2 linked regions of the Alligator mississippiensis genome follow. The protein of the gene in region 1 interacts with the protein of each later gene in a pairwise test. Links are inferred from orthologs where the notes say so. Each region holds a gene or a part of one and is shown on either strand. Other genes may lie near its edges.

Region 1 (11,683 bases):
TGTGCGTTTTTCCACAGTAAACTGATAACCCGGATTCCTGGACATGAGTTAGACACCTATATGTGCCTGAGATTTACAGTTTGAAACTTCTTCCTGGACTTCATCAGCTAAGATGATCCTTTGGGTATAGAAAACACATTTGCTTCTTTCTTTCACAACATAACAGGAGAACAGGTACCCAGTGTTTACAAAGGAATCTAGCAGTCAGACTAACTTCCCAGGAAATAGGAGATGTGAGTTTTACGCCATTCCCAGCCTAGGGGCATTCAGATCTACACATTTCACTTCCTAGGAATGGGGTCTAAGCACCAGAGTACAGACTAGGCTTGGAATGAGGCTGTTTTACACCCTACTTGTTGAAGCTGTGCCACTATGCAGAAAGGAAAGCAAGATTCATGGGGCCAGAGAGAGAAAAAGCAATACAGCTCTGTAATGCAGTGAAGAGAAAGAAAGAGAGGCATAGGTTCCAGCCCATCTCCAACACTGCATATATATTTTGTTACATGACACTCTAAGGCAAAAGGACTAAGTAGTCCCTGGCACCTACGGATACCCTGCCACATAAATAGGTAGTCAGGATTTCTGTAGATTATTTATTTCAATTTAGGTGCCTAAATTCTGCCTAAGGTGCATTTTACGTGACACTGTGATTTTTCTCGTCACATCATAAATCACTTATGGAGACAGAATCTGGTTCTCTCATACATCAAAGGAAGGCACAAATCAAGGTAAGTAAAGGGTCAGATTCTGACACCCTCCACTTATCTTGAGTCTCACTATTTCTTTCAACATGGTACAGGAGATGAAGAAACCATTAACTTGATATCAAGGGCAAAGTTAGAAGTCTAGCATGATGTTTGTTGGTAGCAAGCTCTCTTAAAATGAGGAGGGACTTTGGTTCCTATTTAAAAAGAAGCAACTGAGAATGAGGGTCCCTGAAGGTGAGAGCTGTAGAAACAGAAGCACTTACTTCCAAAGAAAGGTGGGTTTTTTTGTCTGCTTTGGTCAGGGTGTTCTTCTGATCTTGCCTTTCCTTCAGAACGCCTGACACATGAGTTTGGGTATAACCTCCTCTGGAGATGAGAACCTATAGAATGGAAGACCAAAAAAGAAACAGTCTTCTGTAGCCATGGTAAGGAAAATACAGAATATTACCTGCACTTCTCTGTCCTTATGCTTCTTAGAGATCTCCCATACCCTCAGAGATCCTTCCTAAAATCACAGGCATCACAACCATGAATACTTCAAGTTCCACAACAGCCTTAAAAGCGATATTGAATAGAGGGGTAAAACTAAAATATGTCTTGAATTTTATAATTACAATATTCACTGAATGCTTGGGACACAAAATATTGTTTTCCTAATTAAAAAAAGGAAATATTTTTAAATTTAGACAGAAACCCAAGAATTAGTGGTTGTCCAGATGAGAAAAGAATCATGCTTTCTGACATTTTACCATGAACAACAGGCATAGTACTGTCTGGTTTTGCTACCAGATTAAAGTATCCACTAGATCACAGAAATATCATGAATCAAACTCACCTGCCACAACACCACCTCTAAGAAGCAGGGATATAAAAAGTTATTAATCATTTAACCAATAAGTGCAGTGATAACCAGTTAGCTTACCAGTTATCCTTTAGCTCTGGGTGGGCAGAGTCTAGCAGGGAATAGGGGAAAAGGAAAGCTGCACAGTACAGGTGCACGGCTATATCGGTCCAATATCAGATCGGCACCGATATAAAGAAAATTTACTATAATAGAAATCGGCAAGAAGTGGCTGATAATTTGGCCAATAAATGCCCATACATGTGTGCAGCCACAGTGCAGCACATAGGCAGCAAGCACAGCACAGCAGCTTAGAGAGCTGTGTACAGCTGGTAAGTCTGTTGTGGTGGAAAGGCAGGAGGGAGGCAGATTAATGTCCCCCATGGTGAGGGAGGGAGTGGAGCTGGGGTAGGCACTGCCCAGGTGGGGCAGGGTGAGCACGGGACGGAGCCGTGGCTTGTCCAGGGGGCACCAGGGGCAGGGGCAGAAAGCAGTTCCTGCCGCTGTCCGTGGCTCACCTGGCAGCTCATCTGCTTATCTGGTGGCTCCCGCTGCTCGTTCAGGAGGGCACAGGAGGGCGTGTGCTTGGGGTGGGCAGCGGTGGCACTGGGGGGGGCTACGGTGAAATTTGGTATGGCTGCAGTCCCCACCGCTTAACGCCCTCCCAGCACCACCACCACCCACCCTGAGTGCAGCACAGCCCCCAGACCACAGCTGCAGCCTGCCCTGCCCCATCCCATGCAGATCTGGGGACACAGCCCCCTCTTCCCACCATTGTGCCCTCCCAGATGAGCAGCGGTGAGAGCTGCTCTCCCCCCCCGGATAAGCCATGGCTCCATCCTGCACCCATCCCGCCTGGGTAGCAACTCTTATTCTTATCAGAGAATTTTGAATTTTTTAAACAGAGAAAGCCAGGATCCCTGCTAATGACTCATCAGTTAAGCAATTAGTTGTTAATTCACAGGTGCTCCCTCCCTCCCAGCCCAGGTGGGCTATGTTGTCTGGCTGGGCTTGCCTTCTCCTCTGCCCACCCCTCCTCCAGCCCCACACAGTCAAAGGGACCCCAGGAGCCAGGAGCTGTGTCAGAGCTAGTGTGTTATTGGTTAAACGATTAACCAATAGAATTAAAGGAAGTTAAACAAATTTTTTTTTAAACAATATTTACATCCCTACTAGGAAGTGGTACTGACAAAGGGACCAGCATCTCCACCTGTAAGCACCCTGGTAGGAGTTTGCAGAGGAAACATTTCAGTGAGAACTGTCCTAGCTCTCACTGAAGAACATTGGCAAGAATGCTGATTGTTTTGCCTTTCTGCTTTAACTTTGCATTTAAATGGCTTTTGCTTTTAGTTGACTGAAAATAACATCCGTCTTAAACATCAACCACTACTACAAGGAAAAAGGCACCCACATTTTCACTAGACATTGAGCTAGTGAACAAAATGAGTGGCCTCCTTGTGGCCCAAGTGTGTGTTGGTTCTGCCTAACTATTCCCTTCGCTGCTTTACACAAACCTTCCAAAGGTCCTTCTTTGGTTCAAATACCCTTGGTCTTTTGAAAATTAAAATATTACAGGATCTTATGTATGCATAGTTCTCCCTAGTATCAATAGATCTTTCATTTCACCATCTACAGCAATGTTTATATAATATGGGCTTTTGGCTTCTTTCCCTTGATTATCCTTTCCTTTGACCCAGATTCATTTGACTTCCCAAGATGGGCTGGCATTTTTTTTTATATATATTAACTTTTCTCCAAGCAATGGTTCCAGGAAAAAGGAGGTTTCTTTAACAAGGAAACATTTAGTGCAATGAATTTTATACATAGCCACAAAACATCCATGGCAAAAACAAAGCTCAGTACAACAAATTTTGCCTTAGCAAGGCTGCTCTCAACTGCAATTGAAAACATTTTTTTTTAAAAAGGTTTGCATTCCCATTTGTAACTGACCGGGGTGTCAGATATTCCAAGTCAGCCAAGAAATAAATTGGTGGCTATGAGCCACAGAAAAATGTAAATTCAGTTGCTCTTAAAATATCATTCCTTGTTTTCCAGCACTGCAGTTTGCTTTCTGTGCTAAAATCCCAGCATCAGCTAAAATAGAAAGAAAGATGAAAATAACTAAATATGTTAGCTTGGCTAAATGACAGCTATGGAGAAACATGATGAAAGTATAAATCACCATGGAGCGAAGAAACTGCAGAGAGTGCCTCTGAGGAACGTAACTAGGGTTAATGGAATGAAATTATGAAAGGGAAAGGCTGAGACTAAATATCAGAAAACATCTCCTGACCATGAAACATATTAAAACATGGAATATTCTGCAAAGGGAAGGGCAGTTACTTAAGACTGGACAAAATACAAAAAAGTATAACGTAGAACACAATTTTGAAGCTTTATGGAACACGGCCCTTAATGAGACTTGTTCATCTCTAGTCTCTTAATAGGATTTCAATATGAAGAACAGAAAATGGACCCAAGAAATATTTGAAACTATATCACAGTATTAAGGTTAGGAAAGTCTGTGGAATTTAGCATCACTATTACAGATTTAATATTTTAAGGGACAAAATAATTTATATTTTTAAATCTCTTGAGTTCAAGTGTAAAGTCTTAACACAAAGCCATATTTAATTCTGTACTTTCTGTAGCACTTCCTATTCAAGAATTTCAAAGCCCTTTGGCAGACATTTGTCCATTGCAAACTTCTTCCAAAGTGAGATATCGCATACTAAAATAACATATTTTAAATCCAAACATTAAGGTCTTGCTAAACTGTTTAAATGTTTAAGAGCTCTTCTCTGAAGTAGCTCTGTTGTGCATATAGCCCACCTATTCCTTTTTTGCACAAATTTTTGTCTATTTCCAAAAGCTTTCCATTTCATTAATACACTTTCTATCTATTGATGACATAAAGAAGGAAAAAATGTAACTAAGGAAAGCAAGACCATGCATACTGAAAGACGATCAGCCTCCTGCAATAGGATTCATAAAGGAAGAGAATTTCTCGCATAGGACTTCTTTTGCTCTTTCTTCCCCCCCATGCAAAATAAAACCTTTAAGGTGGTATTTTTCAAAGTCCGTAAGTAATTTAGGAGCAAAGCTACCATGGAGAATCAGAGACCTGTGTCTTTAAATCACTTAAGAGCTTTTGCAAAAATGTTTCCTTATCCTCCTTTCTCAAGACAATCACAGGAACAGAAAAAAGAATGACTAGCTGTAGAAAGAGTTATTCAGGACATCTTTTTTGTTATTAGAACAAATAATTCTATCCAATGTAGGCAGCAAACAAACTCTTATTTAGTTATAATTGACTATAACATTGGCTGGAAGTTAAATTTTACCGTGAACTGCATTTCCAGTTCAATGGCTTTTGAAGAGAGATACCAAGGCAGAATCTAGCTTTTGAGTAATGCTGCCCATCAAGGAGCAAAAGTAATGAAAGTTAGAGAGAATAAGAACAGCAGGAGGGAAAAGAATTTATTACATTTTTACAAGCTGAAAAATAATAATTAAAAGAGATGACAATACCATGACAATCAATTATCATTCTGACCCCAAAAGAAAAATAATCAACATGAACAACAGCATAACAGGAAAGCACATGCCCTCTCAAAGTGTTGAGTGCCCCGTCATAAAGCTGAAATAGTGCACGACAAAGAATAATTTAGGTAACATATGACAAAGCTACAAATACGCCCTGGAGAACGCAACAGCTGCTTTGTTTCACACAGTTCCATAGTCTCTACAGGTATTTTGTTAAAAATTCTTTTTCTGCTTCTACAGATTTAGAACATTATTAAGTATGCCAGATGCTCATGTTATTAGATCATTCTCAAACTGTTCATATATCCTAGAAGATAAGGCAAAGAGAGACCTACCCAATTTCTCCTCACTGACCTGCGCACACCCGCTGAAAAAGAACACTGCATAAAACACACCCAAGTGACCATCATCCAGCAAACTTTTGACAGACTAGAATTCTACCAAGGTTTTATTCAAGATGAGACTGAACACATATCATCAAACTCCCTATATTTTTTAAACAAGTAACTAACCACAATAATGCAGCTGTCACAGATAAAAATTAATTAAGCTTGCTCCCATATGTCAGTGACTTGAGCAAAGCACAACCAAGACCTTTATCCTAAAGAAAAGCAGGGCTTGTTTTTGCATAATCCATAGCTGCTGCACAAAATTAAACATAATAATAAAATTAATCACTGTATCCAATTATACCATCAGCGTAAAAAGAAATGCCATTTCTGTCTGGAAACTGTGCTACTAGATTCAAGGAACACCTGAGATTATAACTAAAAAGATAATAGAAGGTAAGGGGACGGCTCCACTTTTTTCAGTTTTCCTTTTGTATCCAGTAAAAATTTGTGCATTGGGTTCTTCTGCTTGGCTTTTTGACAATGTGACTGTAAAGCCATAAAAGTTGGCAAAAGAACTGAGAAGAAATAGTAACTATTTTCAGGTACCCAAAGTGTATGGCAGCGCCCTCAAGGCACGCAAGCTAATCCTGTGCATGCTAGCTCTGGAACAAAAAATAAGGCAGACCCTTTCCTGCTTAGGCTAATTAGCTTCCCTGGGAAGCAGGTCTGATTTGGTCAGATGCAGCACCACATATTAACACAGCTTTACTGCTTCTCGTTATGGACCGAGCATGTTCACGCTTGGCTCAAGGCATCTAGTACAACCTTTAAATCACTTTTAAATGACTTAATCAATTTAAGGGTTATAGAGTCCCCAAACACACACACAAAAAAACAGGTTAACCCTTTATCTAGTCTAGTCTTGCCTTCTTCCTCATTATTCAGTAGATGAAGAATAGAGCATCGGAACCTCTAGCTTTACTAGTGAAGGAACGAACATTCAAAATTTAGAGGCGCTATCTGCCTAACTACTACTTTCTTCCCTCACTTCTGGAGTCATCACTGAACCAATGTATAAAGTTACTCTTACATATTGGATCTTTGTAAACTTTCAAGCCACATTTTATTGGCTACATAAAAGACTTAATTTTTTTTGGATTTCTGAAATATATGGAGGAAAGAACAAATGTGGTTGTCTCTGAAACTTTTAGGAAGGATGTTAAATTTACAAAGAAAAATAAAAAATTCCACTTCAGTACATATTAAGTACCCAGACAAAGGCAAACATATGGCACAAGGACAATTAAAAGTATGTGCACGTGTGTCTGTGTGTAAACTCTGTTTGAGTTTCCTTAATATGCAAAACAGAACTAGTTTACATAAATCCAAGATTCACAACCACAAAGGAAACCTCAAAGAGAATGGTTCTACCATGGTATTTAATTACAGCTCTGTGGGACAATTCAAATTTAAGCCTTGCTTTTAATAAAAAATAAGTAATGTGCTGTACAGAATAAAACAATGGAATTTATTTTAACTTGATTGGTTTTCACAAGCCTCAAAAGGAAGCTAAAACAAAACTTGTGTGCGTATAATACATAAGTTGACACAGAGACAAGTCCAACAAAGATGTTTTGATATTTATCTGTTATTTACACATACACAAACAGATCTGGTTTACGAACACAGCCTAAACTGTACCAGAAATACCGATGGAATTAACAAAACTCCAGTATGCCTACAGAATAAAGCATCGTCTCGTACAGTGAGAATGCATAAAACACCTGCAGTGTAGGCAGATATATTCTTTTCTGTTTAATTTTCATATAATAGACAGACTACAACACTGCAATCCACATATTAATTCATATTGATGATATCGTACAAAAAAAATAAATCAGTCATGGATACACATATGGCATAATACTCATGGATTAGGATGACAGCATTAATACTATTAGTTGCAAAACTACCAGCAGAGTCAGGGGCAAGAGATGTTTTGTTTGCAGGTACAGAAGACTGGATTCTTGCAGGGTAGATGGGAGAGGAGCAGAGACCAAGGATGTAAATTGTGAGGAAGTGCTAGTGTGTAAACAAGCAGAATGTAATTATTCATCATTAACTGTTCACTCTGTGAGCCAGGCACTGCACTGGAGATTTGGGGAGCTATTTTTTTTTCTGGGTCAGTTCCAACAAATTTCGGCCTTGCATAATACTCCTGGACCCACAACTGCAACACCCAGAATTCAATGCTTAACTGCAACACCCAAAATTCAACCTCCCTCCACCAATCAGAAATTCCCGTGCCAGGCAAAAAGAGGCTCAGGCAAAGCACAGATGAAAACAGTGAATTCTGGAAAAAAATCAAGACAACTTGTATTCCTGAGGAATATTAGCACTTAAGCTGGCTACAAGTTAACCATCCAAAAACTCACCAACTATGTAGAGCAACTCATGTTGGATCCCAGAGCAGGAATTGTTGAGCTATAATCTGTGGATTTCTCTGAACACTTAGAAATATTCTGAACTTGCCATGGACACATATACTGAAATTTGGGGGAAGCACAAGGAAACACAAAAGGAACTTGAACAATACCGGCTGTTGACTTGTCTTCTACCTTGGCAACTTTGTCACCTAACCAATTTGATCCCCCTTTACTCTTCCTATTTCAAAAGCAGGGTAACAATGGGCAGGTGAGTGGGGCATAAGCCCCAGGTGCTGCCCGGGGAGACCTTACCCTCCCTTCCACCACAACACCCTGCATCTTCCCTGCAGTGGCTCCAGCTCCAGTAGCAAAGAGGACAGAACAGCAGCAGCAGTGCATGGTGTAGGAAAGGAGTGGGCAACCTGTGGCATGAGTGACCTCTGTGTAAGGCATACGGCATATAGGGCAGGGAACAGAAAGCAAACAGATCACACAGAGAGCACAGGGTAGGAAACAAAAAACAGAAGAGACTGGGCAGGGAGCAGAAAGCACAGCAGCAGATTAGACAGCAGAAGGGAATCAGAGTGCCACTTGGGGGAGGCTATGGAGCTAATTGGTGACACCTGCCAAAAAGGCTGGCTTCCACTGGAGCACAAGCCTGAGGTTTGCTGCTGCATGGGGGAGACCAGGGAGGAGATGATGACACCTCCTTTTTTCTGCCATGGGAAATTAGTGTCAGCTGCAAAAGATGACACCCCCCTCTCCCCTCCCAGCCCACAGCATCAAAATTCTATCTACTGTAGGGGGGGAAAGGTTGTGAAAGGGGAGCTTCATTAACAGAGGCAGCTAACAGACAGCAGAATTGTAGAATAAGGGATAGCTTGATTGGTGGAACATCAAAACCATAGAGGGTTATTAACACCTGTGGAATTGTAGTAAAAAGACGTTAGCCCCCATAATTTTGCAGTAATGCTTGAGCAACAACCATATGATAGAAGTGTCTTATGACCATCTTATGACCCTTTTGTGTAAGATCAGGAGGTCTAACGTCCAAGCTGTGGTCTGCGGTTCTTACTGCTTGCCCTGCATTTTGAAATCATCTCTGTCCAGTGCCTCAAGGTTACGTTAAGATAGGAAGTTACTAAAGTTTAACTAACTTTGCTGAAATTGCTCTTTTCTTCTGCGCATGCTGCAATTCTACCTTTGAGTGTGCATGTACTAACCCTGATAAGTCACATTAACCAATAACTAGTTAAGTACAGCCTACAAGATAAGACGTCACAATTAGGAACTGGTACTGCAGCCAATAAACTCCTAATACGTTAAGACTCTGTTGAATGTAAGCTATAAAAATGTAATTCCGGGCCGGACTCATCATCGGCCCTGATTTGAGCGCTCTGCTCCCCGGTCGAACTGTTTGCAAACAATAAACCTAAATGGACCCAGCCTGTGTGTGTGACTCTCTCCTTGAGGGTAATTGAACAAGCCTCCAGGGGAACGAAACTAGCCGTTTTGGCAACAGAATGAGTTCAGAAGGGATCAGGTAGATGATAATGAGACATTAAGTCAATTGACTACCTCAGTCTGCTTCTGGTCTACCTGACTAGAAATGCTGCTGCCACTAACAGGAAGTTAGTTTTAAACTTTGGATGGAGCAGAAATCAAAGGGAGAAGGAGGGTGCAAGTGGACCGGTGCACCACCCCTGGATCCGCTCCCAGATTACATTAAAATCTATTCAGTGAACTGCACAGAAGCATAAAAAAAAGGGAGGGAGGGGGGGGGGAAGAGGGCAGTCTTTGGAGCTCCCAGTAAACTAGCAGGGGAAAGGTTTGAGAGGGTTGTTTCCTATTCCGTGACATGTCTGCAGCACCCCATTTTTCCCCAAGATCTGGCAAAGCGCCACATCTTCACGTTGTCTGTGGGACCTGACAAGAGTGTACAGCTGCAGGCATGAAAGGGAATAACAGCCAAGGGTGGCCCCAGGGGCTTCCAAACAGATGGTTTGCCTCTTCTCCCCACCCTCCCCCCAAAATATTTGTTTTTATCCCCCTTCAAATGCTTATTACCCACAGCCAACCCCTCCCCCCATACACACACAGGTCGCAATGCAGATTTCACACCGGATCTAATTTTAGCTGCAGCCCTGCCCGGCACATATGTTTGTGTGGGAAACAAGGGGACAGGACAGGACAGGACAGGACAGGACAGGACAGGATGCAGGGAACCAAGAACCCCTAAACAAGGGCCACACACCAGCAAACCTACTGGCACACGCAGTGCTGGCAACTCTTCTGATTTTGGGCGTTGCTCTTAAAGTCTACACTTCGGGCATGTGAAAAACTTAGCTCTTTCTTATATATCTATTTATCTAGATACACAGATTTAAAAGGGCTAAGCTTTAAATGTATAATTTAGAATTTGCAAAAATCTAGAACTCCTGGTTCAGAAATTATACCTTTTATTAGACCAACTGAGAAATAGCAAAAAAAATCATCTTTTTCTGCAAGCTTTCAGGCTCACATGTCCTTCATCAGGCTCAGGGAAAGTTAAAGATGGTAAAAAGCCCCCACGTACAAAATAAACTTCATTTTTTATCAAAGAGAAAGGTATCATTTCTGAACCAAGTTCTAGATTTTTGCGTTTCTTTTTGTCTCAGACCAACACGGCTGCCACACACACCCCTCATTCAAAACTTAGCTTTAATGAAAACGATACCTGCATAAATAAATGCATAGATACAAAAGAAAGACAAGGTTCCTTGGGTGAATTTGATATCTTTTATTAGACCAACCCAAATGGTTGGAGAATTCAGGTTCAAAAACCCTTCGTCAGGCTAAGGACGCTGCAGCAGTTGCTGCGTGCTCTTCCTGGATGGATACAAAAGAAAAAGCTACGTTTTTCACATGCGTGAAGCGTAGATGTTTAAGAACAACGCTGCACCCCTTACATTTATGATGCGCTTCGCCAGCCAACTGCGCAATAAACTCAGGCAAAAGGGATCCTCAAGGGATAATAAGAGTAATAATAATAGGACTAGAAAGTCAGGGCTTAAAAAATGATACAACTCCCGAGCTGGTCAGCCTCTACCTAGCTTTACACCTGAGCCCACAGCAAGGCCCCAACGCACGCACATTCCCCCCATACGCCACAATTACGCCAGAGGCGTAGAGTTACGCCGCGGGCGCCCGCCGGGCAGCGCAGGCGATAGAAGCCCGGGCGCGGGGCCCTCGCCCTGCTCCCCCCACCGCGCGCTCCGCACGAAGCCGCGGCCCCGCCCCCCGCGCCAAGGCTGTGCCTCGAGGCCCCGCACCCACCACCCCTCGCGCGCTAGCTAGCTCGCTCGCGCGCTCGCTCACCTCCCGCTCGAGCCCGGGCCTCGCAGTGCCGGCGCTGTAGTTGCCAGCTACGCGCCTGACGCGCCGGAAGCCGCCCACTTCGCGCCGGGGCAGGGGAGGCCACGGCTAGGGCGGGGAAAGTGGGGTGCGGGAGAAATAACGAGGCCAGCCCCAGCGCTCCCCTCTCTAGGGCGTGCCGGCGGCGCGGGGGAATCAGGCATTTGTGAAGGGCGCCCCCGCGCTGAGCGAGAGGGGGCCTTTGCGAGAGGACCGGCAAGATGGCGGCGTCCAGCCGAGCGGAGGTGCTACGGATCTACCGTGTCCTGCTACGGGAGAGTCAGCGCTTCGCCGCCTACGGCTACAGGTGCGGCCCGGCGGGGGGAGGGCGTCGTCCTCTCGTGGTGGAGGGGCAGGGCCCGGCCCGGAGGGAGCAGCGTCGGGCCCCTTTGCAGGGGCGACCCCGGTCTGGTGTAGTGGGGGGAGGCTGGAGCCTCC
Region 2 (12,705 bases), on another chromosome or scaffold:
AGGTAACTGTATAACTGAACAGGATGGTACAAGTCTCCAAGTATCACAGCAAGATGTACAGAAAGTGCAACAAAAAGTATTACAGGCCTCTGAGGCAAGACTTATGAAGAAAGGCTGAAAGAACTAAGGCTATTTATTCTGGAGAAGAGAAGATTGAGAGGGGATTTGATAACAGTCTTCAAATACCTGCAGGGTGATTATAGAGAATATAGAGATGGGCTTTTCTCTGTGGCTGTAAGGGACAGGCCTAGGGGAGCAATGGACTCAAACTGCAGCTGGGGAAATTTAGGTTGGAGATTAAAGGGAACTTTCTGACTTTGAGCATGGTCAAGCATTGGAACAAGTTACCTAGAGAAACTGTGGAATCTCCATCCTTGGACATTTTCAAGAGCAGTTTGAGCAGACTCTTGGCTGGGATGGTTTATTCAGTGACAATCCTTCTATAAAAGGGGGCTAAACTAGACAAATTTATGACAGAGGTGGAAAAAATATGACCTGTGGGCTGGATTTGGCCTGCCAAGCACCTTCATCTGGCCCATGGGGCACCCCAACAAATTGTGTCCACTCAGCCCTGCCACCCACAAGGGTGGAAGTGAGGCGTCCACATGTATACACAGCCCCCAAAAACGTACCCTATTGCCTGACTCCCACCCTTGTGGGCAGAAGCCGGCCAGCGTTCAGCTTCCATGTGGGGCTGCTGCCGCTACCCCTGGGACCTGCTCCACTTCCTTGGTCTCCTGCTTGCTTTGGGCAGCAGGTTGAGAAGCAGTGGGGGAGGGGCTGTGGCTGGGAGGGAACATGGAGCTTGGAGCTGCAGCTAGTGGCAACACCAAGCCTGCAACCAGGAGGACAGGGGGCAGTGGCAGCTTGGAGCTGGGGTGGGCAGTGTGTGGGTGTGAGGGAGAGTAGGGGGTGCAGGCCCTGCAGGTGGTGGCAGCAGCAGCAGCAGGCGGGGCGCTCAGGGCGCAGGTGCCTGGCATGGCACAGCTGTGGCCAGCACTACACATCACTGCAAGGGGAACAGCCTCCGCTGGGCTACCTGTATTGCTCGTGCTCCCTGTCATGCATGTGCAGCCCTTGCACTCGCAAGGCAGGGAGGGAAGCCCCATGTGCTGGAGCCGGCTGCCTTCCCTGCTCCGCAGGTGAAGGCTCCTGGGGCTTCTCTCTTCTGCAGTGCAGCCCCAGCAGGAAAGGCAGCCGGCTCCAGCCTGAGGCTTCTCTCCGGTGCTGCGCAGCCCCGGTGGGGAAGGCACCTGGCTCCAGCACATGGAGCTTCCCTCCCTGCTGTGCGAGTGCAGGGGCGGCACATGTGTGACAGGGAGCATTGGCAATACAGGCAGACTGGTGGAGGCTGTGCCCCTCACTGCAATGTGCAGTGCTGGCTGGAGCTGCACCTGTTCCCTGAGCACGCTGCCTGCTGCGGTGCCATGGGGGGGCGTGTGAGGGGGGTCCCTATACCTCCAACCTCCCTCACACCCACAGCTTGCTCCCACAACCCCCCACATATACACAAGCCCCCAGCATACCCTATGCCCCCACACAGCTACACCCCCTCACAAACCTCCCACATCCTACCATACACACCCCCCACATACACACACCACACACATAACACCCCCCCACCATATACACCCCCCCACCCACACCTTACCATACACCTGTCACAACTTACAAAAGTAAGAATTTATTCTTGAGTTATTATGCAATCACCTCTATATACAGTATGCAAACACAAATCATGATAAAAATATGTTTTGTAATAAAATTAAAATATGTTACAGTAGGTGTTTGACTTTTAGTGTATGATATAGTTTTTTCTGGTCCCAAGATGGCAACCCCAGCTCCCAAAAGGAGTATTTCTGGGAGGGCAAGGGGAAGGACTTCCAGCAGCAAAGGTAGGGGCTTGGGGGTGGGGCTTCCAATTAGAAGACTCATAGATTCATAGATGCTAGGGTCGGAAGGGACCTCAATAGATCATCGAGTTCAACCCCCTGCATAGGCAGGAAAGAGTGCTGGGTTCAGATGACCCCAGCTAGATGCTTATCTAACCTCCTCTTGAAGACCCCCAGGGTAGGGGAGAGCACCACCTCCCTTGGGATCCCATTCCAGACCTTGGCCACTCGAACTGTGAAGAAGTTCTTCCTAATGTCTAGTCTAAATCTGCTCTCTGCTAGCTTATGGCCATTATTTCTTGTAACCCCCGGGGGCGCCTTGTTGAATAAAACCTCACCAATTCCCTTCTGTGCCCCCGTGATGAACTTATAGGCAGCCACAAGGTCGCCTCTCAACCTTCTCTTGCGGAGGCTGAAGAGGTCCAGGTGCCCCAGTCTCTCCTCATAGGACTTGGCCTGCAAGTCCTTAACCATACGAGTGGCCCTTCTCTGGACCCTCTCCAGGTTATCCACATCCCTCTTGAAGTGTGGCGCCCAAAACTGCACGCAGTATTCCAACTGCAGTCTAACCAGCGCCCTATAGATGGGAAGTATCACCTCCTTGGATCTGTTCACCATGCATCTGCTGATGCACGATAAAGTGCCATTAGCTTTTCTGATGGCTTCGTCACACTGCCGACTCATGTTCATGATCCCTTTCTGCTTCCGTTCCACCAAGCAGGTCATTTCCCAGGCAGTAGGTATGCTGGACATTTTTCCTCCCTAGGTGTAGCACTTTGCATTTCTCCTTGGTGAATTGCATTCTGTTGTTTTCTGCCCATATGTCCAACCTGTCCAGGTCTGCTTGTAGTTGTTCCCTGCCCTCCGGCGTGTCCACTTCTCCCCTCAGTTTTGTGTCATCTGCAAACTTGGACAGAGTACACTTCACTCCCTCGTTCAAGTCACTGATGAAGATATTGAAGAGTATCAGTCCAAGGACCGAGCCCTGAGGGACCCCACTGCCCACACCCTTCCCGGTCGATACTGACCCATCCACTACAACTCTCTGGGTGCGACCCTCTAGCCAATTCGCCACCCACTGGACTGTGTAGTCATCCAAGTCATAGCCTCTTAACTTGTTTACCAGTATGGGGTGGGATACCGTATCGAAGGCCTTCCTGAAGTCTAAGTATATGACATCCACCCCTACTCCTGTGTCCAGGCATTTTGTAACCTGGTCATAAAAAGAGACTGGATTAGTCAGGCATGATCTACCTGCTACGAACCCGTGCTGGTTTCCCCTCAGCATAATTTGTCTTGCCGGGCTCTTGCAAATGTGAGCCTTGATAATTTTTTCAAAGACTTTGCCTAGGATGGAGGTGAGACTGACTGGTCTATAGTTGCCTGGGTCCTCCTTCCTCCCCTTCTTGAAAATGGGGACCACGTTGGCCCTTTTCCAGTCCTCCGGGACCTGGCCCATGCGCCATGACTGCTCAAATATTACCGCCAGTGGCTTCGCAATGACGTCAGCCAGTGCCTTCAGTACACTCGGATGGAGCTCATCTGGGCCTGCCAACTTAAAGACATCCAGTGCCTCCAAGTGACTCTGCACCATCTCAGGGTCTACGCATGGTAGTCTGGCCTCCTGCTGCTGCCTCTCTACAATCCCAGTGAGAGCCTTGTCCTGCCCCTCACTTAGGAACACTGAGGCAAAGAACTCGTTGAGGAGTTCAGCCTTGTCCCCCCGTCCGTCACCAATTGCTTCTGCCCATTTAGTAGGGGTCCTATTCCATCCTGGGCCTTCCTTGGCAATAAGGGGGCAGGGCAACTGTCAAGGGTCAGGACTACCTAGGCAGCTCTCGACAGCTCACCCAAACACATTAAGCAGCCCTTCACCCAAAATAATTGCCCGCCTCTGTCTTATGAGGTCCCTTCATGAGCAGATCCAGTGAGGTACAGTTGTAGCTGACTCCTGCTTCACTCAAACTTTAAAACCAGCTGCCTGGGAGGGGCAGTAGCATTTCTATCCCGGCAATGCTGTCAGAGTCAACTGACTTTGTTGCTCAGTATCATCTCCCTGATTTCTGCTACTTTCTCTCCACTCCACAGGTGTTAATGACCTTGCATTGTTTTTAATGGACTTGATGTTCCACTCTTGAAGTGATCCTTTCTTCTGACATTTTGCTGCCTGTTTGCCATTCCTGGCAATGTCTCTCATCTATTTCATGGTCGTGAAGACTGTTTTTAGCCCTAGCTGAAAACCTTAACTCGGGTAATATTAACTCAGTTGTAATGAAATGTAATGACAGTGAAGTACTGGAGGCACTATCAAGACATTCAAGAAGGCCAGATTATGTTTTGTGAATCTGAATAAGAGATGTAGATTTAACTATAATGACCACAAGCATAGGCAGCAGAACAGGGTGGGGGGAGAGAAGGGGCTAACTGGGCTCAGCCCCACAAACACAGACAGGAGGTAGGGCCCTAGGGCAGCCTGGCCACAGGCTGCTGCAGGAGCGGGGGAGAGGTGTGCACATACACACATACTCTGCGCGGTCAGGATCACAGCCAACTTAGCAGGCAGGTTAGTTTCTTTCTGTTTTCTTTACCTGGGCTTCGGGGGAAGGTGGGACAGAGCGAGATCCCCACAGTGCAGGAGGCAGTGGGGTAGGGGCAGGGGTGAACCATTTGCCCCAACACACTCCCTGCTGCACTGTGGGGATTGCTCCATGACCCAACTGGCAGGGGCCCCATTCACGGGGCCAGGCTGGGTCATGGGGCAATCGGAGCCCAGCAGCTTGTGCACTGTGGGGGGAGTCGGGGGAGGGAAGGCACGTTCCCCCTCTCCCTTGGCATCCCCACACCACACCTCTGGACAAGCCGGCGGGCTCACAACCAGCCGGGGCCCCATTCATGGCAAATGGGGCACCATCTGGACCAGGTCATGGGGCAATCAGAGTCCAGCAACTCCTCCAGAGGCACATCATGGCTCTGGAGAGCCAAGAGTGGGGACACATGGCCCCCTGATCTTTGCACAGGGCAAAGGCGGGCTGCAGTTGCAGGCTGGGTTCTGCCTGCTCCCTGCCTTGCTGCCACCTTTGAAAGTGGCATGGTGCCATGTGAGTCGCGCTGCTGGGCATGCAGGGCAGTGAGGCACATGGCACCACACTGCACCACTTTCAAAGGTGGCAGTGAGGCAGGGAGTAGGCAGAACCCAGCCTGCCCTTGCCCCGTGCAAAGATCAGGGGGCCACGTGCCCCGCACCCCACCGCTGGCTGCCCAGCACCTTGACTCTGAAGGAGTTGCCAGGCTGTGCCAAGCTCTTCCCAGGGACGATGTGGGGCAGGCATGGGGGTCCCATGAGCTCCTTCCCCCCCAGCCCAGCAGTGCAGCTGGAGCTGGCCCCAGTGCAGGGAGGCAGCTGGGGCTGGTGTGGGGCTGGGGGGGTGGCAAATTTGCGAGGCATGCCAGCACCGGGCAACGACTCCGAGCATGGGGGAAGGGGCGGCCGCACGGGTGCAGTGGGCCCCAGCCCTGATCCCAGCTGTGCTCCTATCCCTGCCTGGTCCCAGCCCCACTCTCCCCCCATGGCCCTTTCCCCTCCCTCTGCCCCTTCCCCGGCAGACTTTTCTGTGGGGGGGTGCGCACATGCATGTGAGCACTCAGCCCCCTCCTCCTCCAACCCAAAAAATGTCTCCCTCCACCTATGGCTACAGGACTAATGACAGAATTTCTTTTATTTTGACTATTTTTGCTTAGTTTGTTGTGTTTTTCTCAACTTAATACATAATCTAGCAAATTAATGACATACCAATAATTATATTTGTTTTTGTTTGATCTTAAATTGAATAATATACAGGTTTCCCTCGGTTTATGCGGTACATGCGTTCCCGGAGAACGGCGCGTAAATCAAATTTGCATAAAACGAACCCACTTTACAATGTAACAAATAGGGATAGATTCCCATGGTGGTGAGGGAGGAGAGAGTGAGTGAGGTTGGGACTAGGGAAGGGGTGGGGGAGGGGTGCTGCTCCCAGGGCTGCACAAGGCAGCAAAGCAGAGGGAGCAGTGTGGCACTCAACCCAGCCCCAGCTGCAGTGGCCTTGGGAGCAGCCAGCACCAGCTGGCTGCAGCCGCTGGGCTGCACCTTGTTCCGCCTGTCCCTTCACCTCTGCTCCTGGGCTGCGCCTTGCCCTGGTGCAGGCAGCCGGTGTCAGCTGCTCCTAGGGCCACTCCAGCACGGGCTGGGGTGAGTAAGGACAAGCTGAGCCCGGGGTGACACAGGGTGTGACACTCACCCCATTCCCAGCTGACAACAGACAACCTCCATGTACTAAGTTTGGGAGTGGGCGGGGGACGACAAAGAGCTACTTTAAATGCCTTGCAACTCCCCCCTGCCCCAAGAATTCACCGGGACTTTAAGGTGCCCTCACAGAAGGCTAGGCAGAGTCCCCAACTTCAGTAGGGATATAGGGGACCCCCCCAATTTCCCAACCCATAAAAACAAGAGGGTTGTCCACTATCCTATTTGGAATGCCACTGTTTTTTTCAATCCTGGGACTTACTTGGCCCATAAGCAACTGGCTTCCCCTCCCTCACTTTTCTTTCTAAGCATCCTATTCAGACTAAAAAAACCCCTCAACATTTAAGGTGCCTTGGACCATGTGGCCCTCTGGGTCTTCGTCACACTTTGCATTGGCGCTTGCGTCCTTCAGGAGGCAGGGGACGTGTGGGGAAGCGAGGTGGGGAATGGCCTGGGGGTAGTGCCCACACCCGAGGCAGCTTGGAGCTCAGCAAACTCAGACAGGCTTGGGTGTGGGGGGAGGTGACAGCGGGGAAAAAAGCGCGCCTGCTCAGCGCAGGGGGCGGGAAATCTGTCTCCGGGGCGAGCGCTGAGTCACTGCGATGCCCCCCAAACACCCCCGAGCTCCGAGACGCCTAGCAAAGGCAGGTGGCTTAAACTCTGCGCCGCAGCTCGAGCGGGAGGTGGTGCCGTGGGAGGCGCTCATCCCCCGCCCCTCACGGCTGAAGCGCCTGAGCGGAGCGGCATCTTCCCTTGTCTCATTGGAGGGAGGCGCCGCCGCCGCCGTGGAGAAGGTAAGCCATGTCGGCCACAGGGTGTTGCTGGAGCTATCTGCTCCCTTCCCCAGACAGCGGGGAGAGAGCCGTGCGGCGATCGCACGGCCCCCCCGCCTCAGGGCGGCAGTTAACGGCTGAGCGCTGCGTGGAACGTTCGTGACAGGAACGTTGGCTCGGGCCGCGCTGCTGCGCCACGGCGGGGGCGGGACGGGGCGGGGCGGAGAAAGCAACGGCTGCAGCGCGCGCCCCAGCATGAGGAGCTGCTGCTGCCACCGCCGACAGCCTGCCCTGCTGGGCCTCGTCTCTGTGTGCAGCCCCTGGGCCAGCCCTTCCTGCAGCTTCCTAGGGGAGTGCTCCCCACTGCTCCTCCCCTGACCAGCCGGGCGGGCACCTCCCCCGTAAGCTGCTTTCCTCCCATCCCCCCCTCAGCCCTGAGCTAGAGCAGGACTCTGTCACTGGGTCCTGGCTGTCTGTACACAAGGTTTTGTCATCCAAAAAAAAAGCTTCCCTCATTGTCCTGCCAGCTCTTCCCAGGGTGTCTCTGTCACGGAAGCATTCGGGCAGCGCTGCCCCTTGCACCTTGTGCCAGGCATGTCTGTTGCTGGAGGATGTCACGCCACTCCACCCATCGCAGCCTGACGTGAAGCCTTACTGTTGAGCAGAGTGGAGGCCCCCACTTCTATATCAGGGGTTTCTTTGGATGCCTACCCTGGGGTTACATTATTAAGAATAGTCTCAGCTTGATTTTAGTGCACAGGAAGAGGGAATGTGGTAAATGAGGACATGACAGTAGGTGAAGGAATACTAGGGGTTAGGAAGCAGCTAGATTGGTAGGGCCAGGGAGTACTGAGATGGATGAGAACAGTGGTCAGGCAATGCAGTTAGTTCAGGTCAGTGACAAAGAAATGAAATGTTTGGATGATCTTGCAAGAAGCCTAGACTGCCAGATGGAGGAACTTGAACTACTGGTTCAAGGTGTAAAGATAGATATAAGGACAACGGAAATATGGTAGAACAGCAAGCAGGACTGGAAAGATACTGCTGATTATGCACTGTTCAAGAAAGAAATAGACAGGGGTGGTGACGTAGCATTGCGTGACACTGATGTGATATAAGAGTAAAGAAATGAGAAGAATAAAAGGTTTATTCTTTTATTCAAATCCATGATATCTGGTGGGGCCAAAATCACTATAGATATTGGAGGCAGGGTGGATGTGCACTTTGTAGATGAAATTTTACAGTGATATTGCTGAAAGTTGTCTCTAGACTCCTCGGGTTGAAACTCAGGAAATAGACCAGCGATTCTCAATCAGGCTTTTGTGGCACTCTGATGCCACAGGGTAAGATCATTTTCAGCTTGCCATGGGGTGCCATGCAATTAGCACTGTTTAGTGTGCAAGCACCTATGTGATTCAGAAAATAAATCCAGAGATTTCAAATAGAAATCCAGAGTGTTAAAAACATTATGACCTGTTGTAGTCTTTCTGATGTAACAGAAAACAAATGCTCTATTATTTTTCTGTAGTCAAGAGGAGTGCCTTGCATCTAATAAGAGGTATCTTGAGTTTAAAAAAGTTTTGAGAACCACAGGTATAGATAAAGGAACAAAGTTACATTGAGTTAAAGATGGGGAGAATTACAGTGTATGAGCTGCTCCTTGACATTTGTTTTATGTGTCTGTTTCTTCCTGAAGTCAGCAGAAGCTAAGACACAGAAACTTAACTGTTTCACAAAATAGAAAAACTGTAAAGTAACTGATGTGTGGCAAGATCCCCTTTCCCTTTATAACTTGGTATAATGTTTTATCTGCCTGTTGCCTAAAGCAGTGGTTCTCAGCAAGAGTGCCATAAACCCCCTCAGGGGTGCTACTGCTGCATACGCAGCCAGGAAAAGAAGTGCCCCTTGTGCCTCATGCAGAGCCAGACCAGAAAGGACTGTGGGGCACGTATGGTCTCTTTAGGGTTCTCTGACAAGCCTAATGCGAATAGGAGAGCCAGTTTATGCTGCAGCTCTTCCCGGTCTGGTGTCCTCATGCCTCTGTGCCTCCCAGAAACAAAGGCACAGTTGGGGAGAGGTGTTCTTATGCTAAAGAAGTTGAAAATCGCTTCCCTAAAGAACTAGATAGCTAAGTCAAATGGACTGAGATGCTCAGGGATGCTAAAGGTTTGGAAGTTCTTTAAATCAGAGTTGCTAAAGGGTGAAAACAGAAGTGACAATTTTCACTCAGTCTGGCCACAGAAAGCAGTTTATAGCTGTGACCAAACAAGTGCAAGGCTGCAGACAGCTTCAAAAGTGGCCGATTGGGTGAAAATGTGACCCTTCATTGCACAAGGTATCAGATTGTAGCATCTTTTGTAACTTGTGTCTGCTGAACTCCCAGCCTGTTGCTGTTTTCAGAATGGAAGGGAAAGGGAGCAGAGGAAGTTCAGTCTGTGGGGGTTTCACCCCCCCACAAGTGTGGGGCAGATGTATTGGAGCACCCCCAAGGTGGAGGGCTCCAATTCACCCACCCCACCCTTCAGCACCAGTTGAGGAGCCTCTAGAATGAGCTCCCTCCACTGCCTTTCCTCCCTCCTATTCTGAAAACAGCAAGCACTGGCAAAGAGCCTTGGCCATTGCTGTGGGAACCTGGCTGCATGCTCCCAGCCCACAGCTAGATTCCCCTCTCCCCTAGAACCACCAGTGAACTTCTTTTTGGTCTCAGGGAATAGTGCAACTCCAAACACTTTGCAAAAATTGTTCTGAGTTACAGCTCGGAGCAGCACTTCTGTCTGCACCCAAAGTTGCTTATCAAAGGGGAGGAAAAGGAGAAAACTTTTGTATTGAAGAACTCCAGAGTAACTGGATGAATGACCACCTTTTACAAGGATATTTGGCATAAACAAAGAGCAGAAAAAGCTGATCCACAAAGAATGCTATGTCGGTGGTGGGAGGCAGTGCCAACAGATGTTTGATTAGAATAATGATTGCATTTGAATAGTAAATTTGACCCATGTACAATATAAAATAGATTGTTCTGAAAATGCCTAAATGTAAGCTAATTCAGAAACATCCAAAGAGTCTTACAGAAGAAAATTTTTATATTAGATAAGTTTTCCTTGTTTATTCAACCTTAAATGGTCTTTGGATTGATCCTCAAGTGTATGGACTAATTTTGAGGTATGTTACACACTTTACATTGCTTGTAAAGCAGGGATTAGCAACATTTTTTAGGCAGTGCCAAAAACACCTGCAACCTTGACTTGTAAGATGTTGGCGTGCCAGGGCGGATGGCAGAGAAGCCACCAGGGGCCCCTTTGTTGTGGCCATGCAACCCCAGCCCCTTCTCCAAGGTGTGAGTGCCAAGCAAAATGCCTTCGTGTGCCATGTCCTGGCATGCGTGCTGGGGGTTGCTCACCTCTGTTCTAAAGGTAAACATGTAGCAGCAGAGGATAGCAGTTCCCAAGTGGAATGCAACTAAAATGTGAAAGTTCTCAAAGCTTATGGTGAGGGGAATGATTGAAATATTTGTAAAGATTAAAAAGTATGTCATATTCTTAATATTTGTGTTGTACAATAATTTTTCATTAAGAACAATAATTTTGAGGTTATAATTCAGTATTTGTAGTTTTCAAATGTGGCAACACTGCTCAGAGGTCAAGAAATGCAGTAGCAAAACCAGAATTGCTAAAAATTGAGTTAGATTATGCAAAGGAGGGGTGTGAGACTCGCCTTGTGCCCTGGGCTGAATCTGGATTGTGAAGCAGGATCCAGCCATGGCATGAGGAAGGAGTGTTGGCAACATAGCTCAGGCTCTGAGCTAGTGCACGCAGCAGTGGTGGCAGTGTCAGCTCTGGCCCCAACCCAGGGCACATGGCGGTGACTCCCAACACTCATTAAGGCTGGTATCATGATTTGAGAATAACAAATGCAGTATTTGCAGCACCATACCTAGACTCCTGGTGGCCCCGGGCAAACGTTTAATATTGGGCCACACTTCACCAGAGAGAATAATAATAATTTTAAAATTAGCACTTTTGGGCTCCCTTTAGGCCCCCTTTTTCAGGCCCCAGGTGGCCGCCCGGTTCACCCGTGCCTGTGTCTGGCCCTGAGTACTTGTGAAAGGAAAAAGTACTCTGGGCAACAAGAAATCCATTAGTCTAACCACTATAATATTCTAGGCTTTATAACAAATTTTGTAGGAAAGAATAAAGATACAGAAGTAAATGAGAATTACAGTATAAAATACAGTTTAAATATACCAAAAGTTTGATTGTGGCAAATTAATTTGATTTTCTGAACAAAGAAAACATACTAGATGTCATCTACCTAAACATATTAGATGTTCATCTATAAAATCCAAAAGTTCAGTAGCCTCTGAAGAAATTAGAATTCCTGAAAACATTTGATAAACATGGATAATTATCAGTTAAATTAGAGAAGATGAGGATTAGTTCAGGGAATCAGGTGGATAAGGACCTGGCTAGGGAAGATGATGACAGGTAGTTTGAAAAAGAAAGAATCAGGCTCTAAACTTGGTTCACTGGGGGATGGAGACCAAAGGGCTGAGGTAAGTGGGGAAGTGGTGGACCTGGAGGAGGAGCAAGCAGAAGGGGGCAACAGGGGAGGTGTTCTCATTCTTCTTGAGAAATCGGGGCAATCCACTAGTTACCTCAGGTACCTGTACACGAATGCATGGAGCCTGAGAAACAAGCAGAAAGAATTGGAAGTCCTTGCAGAGTCATGGCACTATGACATGATTGGAATAACAAAGACTTGGTGGGATAGCTTGCATGATCATGGATGGATATAAACAGGCAAGGGAGAAAAGGAAAAAGAGTTGCACTTTATGTAAAAAAAAGCCATATCATTGCTCAGAGCTCCCGTATGAAGCTGGAGATAGGCTTGTCAAAAGTCTCTTGAGTTAGAGTCCGAAGAGAGAACAGCAAGGGTGTTGCCATGGTGAGGATTGGTCTGCTATAGACCACCAGACCAGGAGAAAGTGGTGGATGAGGCTTTCTTCAAACAGCTAGTGGAAGTTTCCCTGTCACAGGCCCTGGTTCTCATGGGAGACTTCAATCACCCTGACGTCTTCTGGGAGGGCAATACAGCAGTGCACAGGCAGGCAATACAGCAAATTTATGGAGAGTGTTGGAAACAACTTCCTGGTGCAAGTGCTGCAGCAGCCAACTAGGAGCCATGCTTTTCTTGACCTGCTGCTCACAAACAGGGAAGAATTGGTAGGGAGTATAGTGTAGTGGATGGCAACTTGGACAGCAGTGATGGTGAGATGACTGACTTCAGGATCCTGAGGAAAGGAAGGATGGAGAGCAGCAGAGTAAGGACCCTTCAAAAAAGCAGACTTCAACTCGCTTAAGGAACTCATGGGCAGGATCCCCTGGGCAGCCAGACCGAGGGGAGAGGAGTCCAGGAGAGCTGGCTGTACTTTAAGAAACCTTACTGAGAATGCAGGAACAAACCATCATGATGTGCAGGAAGACTAGCAAGTATGTCAGAAGACCAGCTTGTCTTAGCAGGGAAGTCTTCACTAAACTAAATCACAAAAAGGAAGCTTATAAGATAAGAAGTAGAAACTTAGACAAACAACTAGGGAGGAATATAAGAATATTGCTTGCGCATGCAGGGATGAAGTCAGGAAGGCCAAAGCGCAGTTGAGGTTACAGCTAGTAAGGGATGTGAAGGGTAACAAGAAGGGTTTCTACAAATATGTCGGTAACAAGAGGAGGATCAGGAAAAGTGTGGGTCCCTTGCTGAA

The links.
Region 2: the proteins of FARS2 (region 1) and RCC1 and BTB domain-containing protein 2 interact in binary tests that used the Homo sapiens proteins (3 or more experiments, as listed by UniProt). The two-hybrid records come from large-scale screens. The link is inferred for Alligator mississippiensis from reciprocal best matches to the Homo sapiens genes FARS2 and RCBTB2.

Annotation. Positions count from the first base shown.
Region 1 is NC_081826.1:122,806,016-122,817,698, reverse strand, and holds the start of FARS2 (phenylalanine--tRNA ligase, mitochondrial), read right to left. Parts: upstream 6,097-11,683; 5' UTR 6,082-6,096; coding exon 6,033-6,081; intron 1,088-6,032; coding exon 971-1,087; intron 1-970. Other genes in the region: LYRM4 (LYR motif-containing protein 4), read left to right, coding at 11,467-11,552. UniProt on the Homo sapiens protein: Is responsible for the charging of tRNA(Phe) with phenylalanine in mitochondrial translation.
Region 2 is NC_081824.1:413,616,616-413,629,320, reverse strand, and holds the start of RCC1 and BTB domain-containing protein 2, read left to right. Parts: upstream 1-6,767; 5' UTR 6,768-6,968; intron 6,969-12,705.